3 linked regions of the Schizosaccharomyces pombe genome follow. Changing the gene in region 2 together with the main gene of any one other region gives a genetic interaction. Each region holds a gene or a part of one and is shown on either strand. Other genes may lie near its edges.

The links.
Region 1: mutations in hif2 (region 2) and arp6 together harm fitness more than expected from each alone (negative genetic interaction), as found in Schizosaccharomyces pombe (2 studies listed by BioGRID).
Region 3: mutations in hif2 (region 2) and iwr1 together harm fitness more than expected from each alone (negative genetic interaction), as found in Schizosaccharomyces pombe (2 studies listed by BioGRID).

The regions. Positions count from the first base shown.
Region 1 is NC_003421.2:1,210,239-1,213,997, reverse strand, and holds arp6 (Swr1 actin-like protein Arp6), read right to left. Parts: upstream 2,060-3,759; 5' UTR 1,991-2,059; coding exon 1,911-1,990; exon of another isoform or gene 1,840-1,910; coding exon 1,725-1,839; exon of another isoform or gene 1,653-1,724; coding exon 642-1,652; 3' UTR 339-641; downstream 1-338. Other genes in the region: nmd5 (karyopherin), read right to left, coding at 2,909-3,759.
Region 2 is NC_003421.2:192,451-196,209, forward strand, and holds the start of hif2 (Set3 complex subunit Hif2), read left to right. Parts: upstream 1-1,913; 5' UTR 1,914-2,101; coding exon 2,102-2,153; intron 2,154-2,243; coding exon 2,244-3,010; intron 3,011-3,048; coding exon 3,049-3,468; intron 3,469-3,520; coding exon 3,521-3,759. Other genes in the region: protein pdh1, read right to left, coding at 1-676.
Region 3 is NC_003424.3:1,592,857-1,596,615, forward strand, and holds iwr1 (RNA polymerase II nuclear import protein Iwr1), read right to left. Parts: upstream 1,684-3,759; 5' UTR 1,599-1,683; coding exon 1,538-1,598; intron 1,485-1,537; coding exon 1,416-1,484; intron 1,327-1,415; coding exon 1,014-1,326; intron 925-1,013; coding exon 534-924; 3' UTR 446-533; downstream 1-445. Other genes in the region: peptidase family curved DNA-binding protein Cdb4, read right to left, coding at 1-227; signal recognition particle receptor beta subunit Srp102, read left to right, coding at 2,339-2,506, 2,555-3,070; glutamate-ammonia ligase Gln1, read right to left, coding at 3,636-3,759. UniProt on the Schizosaccharomyces pombe protein: Directs RNA polymerase II nuclear import.

The sequences.
Region 1 (3,759 bases), 1.0 Mb from region 2:
CTTTCTATCCAAAATGTAAACAGACGCGACACGACTACATTGCAACGCAACGCGCTACATTCTAATTAAAGTAGTATACCGTGACTGCTCTAACTCAAGGTTGCTTTAACTCTTATACTGTCAACCTGAAACTGCACTGTACATATAAAATGCACTTGAAACAGTAGTGAAGAAGTGCTGAAATTTTTCTTTTTTTTCAATCTTGTTTTTCAGGCACATTAATAATATGTAAGTATAAACACTTGAAGAGATAGAATGTTACATATGATGCTTTACAAATCGATTAGTCTTGAAGACACAACTATGTGGTTAAATTTTTATACTTGTATACTGATTTTCATTCCTATCTTTTTTATAATATCTTTCATTTCGCTAACGCTTTTTAGGTATGAATTATCCTGGCGACAATAATAAAGATATAGTTATTTAGCTGTTGTTTTAGTGGTTGATCAAGAGATAGAATGATTCGTTAATTAATATAAAAAGATTTTATTCTTAATGCATGCATATTTTTCGTTTTATATTGCTGTAGCCTTAATGTAATAAACCAATTTCTTAAGATGCGAATTATCAGCTCGCCTTGAGAATTTTGTGAAGATAGAAATTTAACCCACATTATTGAGTTTTAAAATGGTGATCTATTATATTCTCCTTTTTCGTGTCATTATGTTTGCTCCATGTTCTGAGTACTCAGAACGAGTTATTTTATTCGCATTCCAGTGCTCCAACGGCATATGAGATGCCTTTTTCCATGGAAAGCAAATAGGATCTGAAGGTTCAAAAACTTTAACTTCCCAATTAGCTGGTGCCAGCGACCGTAATTCAGATGATAGTCTTTTATGAAATCCGGGAAATTTACAGTTTCCTCCTATTGTAACAACATTTTCAAGCAACATTGCCTGTATATTTTCAGGAAAGTGGGTGACACTTTGCATGACCGCCTCTGGAATCCCAGCCTCACGTATTTCGATATCAGATGGGGAAAATAATAATTCTGGTATCATGAATCTCTCATTTGAAAGATTCAAAACTTGTTGCTCTATTTTTTGATTAATATCTCTAACAATATATCCATGTTTTCCAGTGCTGTAATCGGGCAAAGCATAACAAATTTCCAATTTTGACCGTGGTTTTTCGTGACATATCTCCATGTCCTCCTTGAAGTTTTGAGACACATAACAAACGGACTCTTTAATTTCATTAACAATGTATGTTTCTTCCATCATATTGTACTTCCGGTATGAGATGACTTCTTTTAAATAATTCGTAAGTAATTTCCCTCCCACATCAACTCGCTTTACCGCTTGTTCTTGAACAGAGAAATCAATCACAGGAATTATGTGTGTAAAGCTATATCCAGAGTCAATTACCAAAACGCATTCTCCATGTTGACCAGTATACGCATCTTCTTGATTCATTGTGAAACTTCCATGATCCCAAGGAATTAGCTCAGCTGGGGTGCAAGGGAGGTAAGCATCGAATTGGAATTCCTCAAACACGAGTTGTATAGTATTGTGTTCTATGGAAGGCATTGTAAATACGGGCTGTGTAAGCAGTAAAGAATAGTCTGCCATGCTAGGTTCCATCACACCTACATTGCGCATTACCAAGTCCCATACGGCTGTTTCTGTGCTCCAATGGACCAAATACCCCTACTAGTATTAGTAAACATAATCTTTGTATTTATTTTGTTCGTAAATAATACTCCCTCATAAATGCTGTACCTTTTCATGCGCCCTGCGAAATTGTAAAGTTGTAAAGTCGTTACAGTTGGCCAATTCATTCCCCAAAAATAATCTGTTTCCATCTTTTGATCTCGTCAAACAATTCGGAATTTCACTAAAAACTATCGTTAGCTGAAAAAAGTAAAAGATACATGAAATTTATTGACGTGATGCACTTCTTCTTACACAACTTTTCCACCTGCAAATCCAGCTTTTATATGGTATGCCCCATTGTCTAAAACAATAGTTTTAGGGGGTAGTCCCATATTATTAATAAAAATGTATTCCTATATCTTAGGTCTTAACTTCACCCAAAAACCGCGATTAAATGTACTGTTGTTACGGCTTTGGAATGCTGTTATATGATAGCGTTGTGCTATAACAACAATATCATTACAGTTTGAAGCAATAGTATAATAACGCTGGCTCTTAAAGATATTTATGATATTTTTAATAATATCATAAATTTGAAGGATATCTTTTTAAAATAACTTTAAAGATAAATCTTGCAAATCTTAGCTTTATCAATATAACAACATCGTTAATGGGGGGCTGTCTATCAAATTTAGTTTGTAAAAGCCGTTTATCATATTATCCAACCCCTAAACTAGCCGTTATCAATTTAGTTAGCTGCTTAATTCAACGTACATCTAATATACCATTCATAAACACCGACTTTCCCTATACTACTAAATCGTGGATACTTAACTTTATGCTTATTTCCTCAAGAAAAATATATTTCTATTTCATTTTCTCATCAACTTGCGTTTGTCAATTCGCATAAAGTAAAAGCAAATGAACTAGTATTAATCGATTTTAAAACTTCTCATATTTATTAACTGGTATATTATGATTTTAAATTTCATTTAATCAATTGGCGTTCCAAAATTCTTATAAAAGAAACACACCTCTGCGTTTGTTTTCACCGAACTGTAAACCGATACAACAATAATTTTCTTAGCCTTCCCTTTAGACAAACCCTCCATCCATTTTTCCCAAGCCATAATTCCGGGTCGTATCTCATTGAAGAAATTATTTTTACAAACCCGTAGAGTTTGATTTCCCATTTAAAAAGAGCCGTTCAAATATGTCAGTTTGGCTTATTACCACTGTGTAGAAAATGCTTGTTTTATATTTTTATATTTTATTACCAAAATTGGACAGGCTTAGAGCGCCAAACAGGCTCATGTTTTATCGGAAGCGACAGCAAGGGTAGAGGGTTTTTCAGTTACCAATCTCTGTAAGGATTGCTGCTCGGATGCTTCCAAATTTTTGACAAGATCTTGTAATGTGACAGGGCTGTTGTCCTTTAAATGAACCATAAACTCTTGGAAAAGTGAAAATGGATCAACTTGATCTAACAAAGTATGGAAAAGAGGATCCTCGTCCAACAAGTAATTTCCTTGGAAATGCTCAAATTCGTCAAAATCGTCAACCACATCAGCCGAGATTTCTCCACCCAAATCAGGTCCCCCATATTCGACGGCAAAGTCATCGACACCCTCATCATCATCGGCTTCCCAATCGATGCCATCATTCCAACCAGAGCCAGATAAATTAAATGTTTCACCGTCATACTCTTTTTCTAATTCCGCGCGAGCAGCTAATGCTTCAGGTAGTGTATTTAAAAGAGTTATCATGACTTTCATTATATTACCCCAAGAGTCTTGGATAGCAACAGCAACTTGTTGAGCTCCCAGTGAAATTACCGATAAAATAGCTACCAAACTCAACTTTTTATCATGCACACGAGTAAACGAAGGTATATTTTCAAACCATAACGCAAAGAATGGTAAAGTCCACTGATGCATTTCAAGTACCCCAAGAGACATCGATGGGTTATAATATAATGCATTGATTATAACCTCCAACAAAAATACGCGGTATGTTTGAGAAGTTGGCTTTTCAGTTACAAGTAAGAGATTACCAGCAACCTCAATAAACGCAGGCACATATTGATCCAAAAGGCCACGATAATTAAGCATTAAAAGTTCGGTTAGTTTACAAGCCGAAACACGGTCATTGACGGCCAGGT
Region 2 (3,759 bases):
TAGGAAGCTGAGTATGACTTTCTAAATGGAAAAGTTCTTGAACCACAGGATGAACAAACAACACATATAGCTCAGAGATGCAAGTGCCTGAGACAGCTAAGCAGAAATAAGTCCATGGAAAACTTTGAAAAACATAAAATAAGTGAATTGAAAGGAACAAATAAATAAGGTATTTTGACAATGGACAGAGAAATTTGTTTGAAGATTCTTCCTTTTTACACGAATACAATTGGTACCAAGCAGTTAAGATCCCTGCTTGAATTGCGGTCGTACTTTGGATAATTGCGACCAACAAGTAATGTGAATCTGTAATTTTGTATGCAATAAAGCAAGGTATCAAGACAGCAATGTTTGGAATCACTGTTAAAAACTGACAGAAAAGCAAGTACTCCTTATGACCCCATGAACGTTCAATTTCAACGCCATACACCGAGAGAATGAGAATACTTGAAAGTAGCGTAAAAACATTAGCATCAACAAAACTTGTGGTAATTATTGTCCATGGAAACAAGAACAAAGCATTTGGAACCAAATGAAAACATAAAAGAAAGAAAGTTACAATAGAACTCCTACCAAACACTTTGATGTAGATGCTGATTCCAAATGATATTGCAGAAAACAATACCTCTAGGATAAGAAGCCTTTTCGTAACCGAAAACTTGGAGAAATGATTCATTGATAAATTTTAGGTAAAAAAAAATAGTAAAGTTCTCGTTACCGTAAAAATCATCGACGTCAACAATTTTGGTCTCAAAGTAAACAATACCAGGATACCTCTAAGTAAATGGTGCAATCCGAAATAAAATTTCTAGCTGTTTGCATCTAAAAAATAGAAACTCTTACGAAAACTGAATTGGCCAAAGATCGCTTCACTGGAATATAAGCATAATAAGAAATTGCCTATATGGATTAATACAGTTAGTAAATTAGAAAATGAGAAGTTGAGATAAGACACTGCACCTGGTTTTTTAATGCCTTCTCAATAATCTCATTTACAGGGACATTCGGTAGCGGGTAAGATGATAGGTAGGTCATGGCTCGACCAGATTATAAACATCCAGAAAATTACATAACTTTGTAGCTTGCCGATTCTAATAGAAGATAGAAAAGAAGTTTAAACTCGCTGATATATTTGTTTGAGCACAACCTGGTTTATCAAGTAACTATGATCGGTTCGGTTGAGGAGATAAACGCATTCAAAGTTAGAGTAAATAGTAAAGGGAGAAATTAATTTTTATTATATTTGGCAGTTTTTTGAGGGAAACCCTGATGAGAAATTGCTGCATATCGCTCTGCTGGGTTAAAACAAAGTGTTGATTCTCTTAATCGAATAATGTCTTAAATTATTAGTCATAATTCAAATCATCTTTTCCTTTCTTAGAATATAGTGAATGCATTGTTTAGAGCGGTCTTATATCAGAAAGAAGCATTCGCTTGACCTTGAAACATTTGTAATAGAAAATCACATTTCCTTAGCATGATAAGCGGACCCTGAATGTTCAAATTATTCAAATAAAATAGCAGTATATTTTAGAAATAAAAAAACCAAATAAGGCTCCTACCACTCTTGTATGGAATGTTGAGTACAGAAATAGCATACGAATTCATGAAAGTCAGAAAATACAATCTGGCTGCCAACTCCTTAACACAAACTTCTAAAAGTGAATTTTGATTGAAATTAAAAGTCGAAGAGAACTATTAGCATTGCCGTTTTAAGTTGTTAAGAGACCGACTTCAAAGAGGGAAAACTTTACTGAAATTCCTCGGATACAAAAAGTGGGCACTCGATTATTTTTATTTTGATCAAGCGCTGTTTAAATAGTAACCTACGTGCAAATAATAGAGCAGGAAGATTTAATCCACAGTTTCAGCCATCGCACGTATCTAGTTAAATTTCGGTAACTAATACTTCCACAACTACTAAAAACCGTCTCAATGGGAATTCGTCGACAATCCTTCAAGTTAAATCCGTATTGACAGGAAAAGAAAGAAAATAGAAGACTGTTGAGGTTTTAAGTGAAACTCGTTGACAGACCTTAAGATTTGACTTTAATTTACGTGGGTAGCTTGAACCATTATAGATTTAGAAATTGTGGAGGAAATGGATACGAATCAAGTTAATTATATAATCTGGAGATATTTGAAAGAATGCGGTATGTTAAATAGTTGGTTTTTGTGAATCATAGTCGCTTCATCTCTCCTTTTTTTCGGTTTCGTTAACATTATCGTGTTTTTTGTTGTAGGTTATTCGCATACTAAATTTGCATTTGAAAGGGAAACAGGCATCCAAAATTTAGACAAACAATGGGGAAGTACTTGCCAGGTTGGCGCTTTAGTCGAAATTCTGCAGAAGGGTTTACAGTACGTGGAGCTCGAAAAGCACTACGTTGATAATCACTCCTCAAACGAAGAAGCTAGCAAAACATCTATAGATGGAGAAAGTCTTGTAAATGAAAATCCTTGTAAACTCCCTTTCTATCTCACCGTACCTCATATATGCGAAACGACACTGACGAAAGCTGACTCTACCAATGGGTTTTGCGAACACAATAATTCTAATGATCACCAACTTAAAATTTTACAAGATAAGGGGTCTGGGTCGCCTTCATCTCCGGTCATGCCATTTAAGGATAAAATTGAGAAAAGGGATATTGACATTACTATGGCCGATGAATCAAACGTAGAGAAGGATCCGGCTCGACCTATAGCCGTGTACAACAGTTCACCTGTCACGGAAATAACAGAAATAAAACAGGTTACTTTTACTGGCGGCGAAGACATAAAGTCGGATTTTTTCAAAGTAATTCCTACCAAACACCCCGTTACCTGTGCAGATTGGCGTCCACTATTACAAGAAAATTACCATGTTTACGAATTTTCTATTGGTATGACAAACGCTACTCTGGCTTCAGTTAGCATTTGTGAAGAGCAAAATGATTTCAAGGCAAAAACAGATTATTGTCTGCAATCTTCTTTCGATAACCAAGATATCACTGGCGTTGCTTGGAATGTAAGGTTCAAATTTTTTTTTGAAATACTAACTTTTAGAATTCTGGTTCTTTTTTAGCCTACGCATTCTTCAGCGGTGTGATTGAAATTTACGATAGTCATGGTTCTCAAATCCTTAGCTTTCATAACAACAAAGGCCCTGTTTTATCTTTGAAATGGAGCGGTACTGATACATATCTAGCTGCTGGTTCGGCGGATGGAACTATTACACTCTTTGATCAACTGAAGCAAACACAATATTCAATTGACACACTTGCATCTTCCGTTTTAGACATTGAATGGATTAGCTTTGATGAATTTGTAACTTCGGATGTGGAAGGCTCCTTGCGAGTATACAAGGTCGATGGCAAAGCTCCGGTTTCTACAGTTTCTCATGCGCATGATAATTCTATTGTTGCTTTACGATACAATCTACGTATCTCTCTTCTATTAACTGCTTCTAGTGATACCACTGTTAAGGTAAATTTCTTTTGTCATTCTAATAATTACTGTTTTCTAACGTTTTGTATAGCTTTGGTCTAGAGGTGATGCTGGTGCTTTTGAATGTTTACATGTTTTTTCTTTTAGCTCACCGGTTAATTGTATTGACTGGAATTTGCGGGAAGGGACACCAATTCTAGCGGTTGCTTCAAACAGTATCGTTTCTATGTATAATGCTATTTCCCTTCAGCAACTTGCTGTATTCATGAGGCATACAGCTCCTGTTAGTGCTTTGAGCTTCAGTCATAACGGTCGCTATCTTGCTACTGG
Region 3 (3,759 bases), on a different chromosome or scaffold from region 2:
CCTTTATAAGCATCCTTGGTACGATATACTTTCTTGATAGCTTCGTTCAATAGTTCATCACCACGAACGCAAATATCGTATATTTTGGCTCCAGGTTGGCATAATTCTACCACTTTTTTAATAACATTTTGAGAAACTTCGCCTGCAATTTTATATTTATTGACGGTTTCAGGATTACTCAAAGAATAATCGACAGCAGTCTCTGAAGTTGCTTCTTTAGTCGACATATTGTCTATGATGTAGCTAAATCTGGCTACAAATTCAAGAACTTGGTGCTAGGATTTTGCAAGTCACAAAATTGTGGACTCCAAACTCATGAATAACATGGCTCATATTGAATCCTATGATATAACTAAATAGTAATGCTATTAAAATTTACACATATTACCCAGACACAATATAATGTATGAGTTTTTAAAAAATACAATAGAACAATTTACTAAATTCCTGATATAAATTTCTCCAAATAATATCATTCACCTATTAAACTGTAACCGATTTCCATTTTGTTCGTTTTTTTAAGTAGCAAACATCTAATCATAAAAGTCTTGCTCAGCATCATCGGAGTAAGCAAATTCATCATTTTCACTGCTATCTTGCCATTCGTCTTCATCGGGATAGCTATTTTGATAGAAGCTTTCAGCGTTTGAATCCTCATCAATTTCATCATGTAATGGATCATCTTTATCAGAGTCCACTGTCTCGGAGACTAGTTCCTGTTCTAATGAAGAACGAAAAGCGTCTGGGATGGACAAAGCATCAATTACACCATAAGCAAACGTTGGCTTGTTTGGTTCTTTGCTAGATGCTTCATAAATATCGTATACGTAGTCTTCCGTAGATTGCTGAAGAGGAAGGTCTCCATTTGACAAATATTCTTGAATCATAGAATCTAGCTGAGGATGCGGATGATACGTAGTATGTCTATGAATGTTAGTTAAGGTAAAAAAAGCCAAGAGCCAGTTCTTATAACAACAGAACTAAGTAATTGACTCTATTTGATGTTGACATACCCTTGTTCGACACGGATAGCGTCGAACACTCTATTACTTTGAGTAGAAGGTAAATTCTGAATTGTATAGCGTGGGGATGAGAAAGAAAGAATACCTTTTGTATTTTCACGGGATCCCAAGTCCATGTGCGTAGGTGCTTTCACAACGTCTTCAGAAGTTTGGACGACAGGGATTCCGTAATTGTTCTTTTTTAGAGATGATATTTTTGTATGACTGTGGATATTTCGAACGTCTTCATGAGTGGGTTCCGAAGATTCATCATTTATCTGAATATACCGATCATCTTGCTTCAGCGTTTGTGATAGTTTAAAATCTAGAAACTGTCAATAAAAGGTAATTGTGTTTTTCAAATGATTAGTCCTTGTGTAATATTCCAACACAAAAGCTCAAGAAGTAGCATACAATATCGTCCGGCGAATTTCCTTCTTTTCGTACTTGAAACAGAATTTGGATTGTTTCCAAGTTCCAAATCTAAATTATTAAGGAGTTAGATAAAGAAAGTTTACTTAGAAGCTTGGTCGTACATAGGGCGTTAACAGGATCTTCTGAAGCTTTACGCTTAACTCGAAGTACTGGAAGAGGCATCTTCGTATCACAATTTAATAACGAGAGTTAGACGACTCTTTAAAAAAGGAATTAATATAACCAGCAAAATCTACGGTTGGGGGATGGCAAGTCTGCAATGTAAAAAAGGTAGATATAAAAGTAGCTCTTCGACTGAAAGACAGCAACTTCAGTATAACTTGGATTGAAGTAGTATTACAACAACGCAATCTTATCTTTCAAAATGTAAAATATTCTATAGTTTTATTATTTTAAAATAAAAAATCGTGAAGTTCATTATTTATATCATTGTCATCACTTAACAAAAAGAACTTTTCTATAATAAATAATGTTGAGCAAACAATGAAGCAAAAATATTCAATAAGTCTAATTACACAAATTCACAACTTAAAGATGCCCCACAACAATTAATTCCACTCAAAAGAACCGATGATATAAATGTATACTTTGACGATTAACAAAGATTGGTCTAATCAAGCAATTATCTCATGTAATACATTCAGGAAAAATGTATTTTGTATTGTTTTAATTAAATTCAAAAGAGGGTACAGTCAATCTCTACTGCTGCAATCTGTACGAGAATTGTCTTTTTTAAACAAAACTTCGAGAACTAGTTTGGATGCTTTTTTTTTTTTTTTTTTTTTTCACATTTATTTCTCTCTTCTGAAAAATATATCTTAATCAACGATCGTATGAAAATGAGGTCTTTGTAACATTTGACATATATCTTCTACACACCCAACTGGTACCAACAACAGCATATGGATGGAACTTCTCAAGCTTTTAAAATTATTGTAGCTACAATAATTATAGGAGCTATTATATCTACCCTAGGAATTTTTTTTACTAGAAAGACAATTCAAAAGAAGTTACCAGCAGTGTTTTTAATTGGACCTAGCGATTCTGGAAAAACGTCTTTGTTTTGTGAGGTATAACAATAATATACAATCTTTGAATACTTATTAACTGTTATATAGCTAATTTATAAAGAAAAGAAAACTACAGTTCCTAGCATTGAACCTAATGAAGCTGTGTGGAAATATGGTGCTTGGTTAGTAGATCTTCCAGGGCATCCCAGGGCCAAACGTTGGATTACTACTAAATTCTCTGGAAATTATAATGTAAAAGCTGTAGTTTTCGTTCTCAACAGTGCTACAATTGACAGGGATGTGCACGAGGTTGGATTGATGTTGTTTGACACAATTTTAAAATGTCGCAAGCATCATGTCCCTCATCTATTAATTGCCTGTAATAAATTTGATCTTTTTACTGCTCAACCTGCGGAAAAAATTCAACAATTGTTAAAAGCTGAACTGCACAATATTTTGGAAGAGAAAAATCTTCAACTCGAATCTATAGTCTCTGAAGATGTCGATTGGGAATCAGTTGCAGATCAGATTGAAGATACTGATCTTAAATTCCTTCCTGGCAGCGTTGCAAAAATGTCGAACATTGAAGAATGGATTTCATGGATGGAATCAGCTTTACAATAAAGATGCATTAATTATTCACAATTGATAATTTACAAGTAACCAACCAAAAAAGATATATTTTTGCATGTCTAGAATAAGCTATCGTTTTATTTCAAAAATTCGTAATCTTGTGTGAATACTGTAAAATACTTAAAAAAATTAACAGGGTTGTTGACAAACTGATTCGTAAAGTACTTGTACTTAGGGACAGCTTGGGTAAAAAAAAACAAGAGAAACATTAATATTAGTATAAGAATATCAAGAAAAGAACAATCCAAGGTTGTATCAAAGCCTCACATACGCAATGAAAACACTCTTGATCATTATAAGAAGGTGAGCAACAAGCTCAGTTGATAAATGGTGATACTTTAAAAAAATGACTGCAACGAATGCATCATATGAAATATTCTAAAAAAAGATAAACATCACAAAAAAGTGAAGCTGATAAACAAAATTACTACACAACAAACTCATTAAGTCCTACAAACAAAAACGTGATATTATAAAAACTTAAACACATATTTCAAAATGGTTAATAACTGGGTGGTCGACGTGACCTGCACGTTAAATTATGAGGGAAAATTGTCTAATGCTCAAACATGGTCTCAGTGATGATACCAGTGACGAGGTAAGGATCGATGGAAGAAGCAGGACGACGATCCTCAAAGTAGCCGCAACCATTCATGGCGACAGAACGGGGGATACGAACG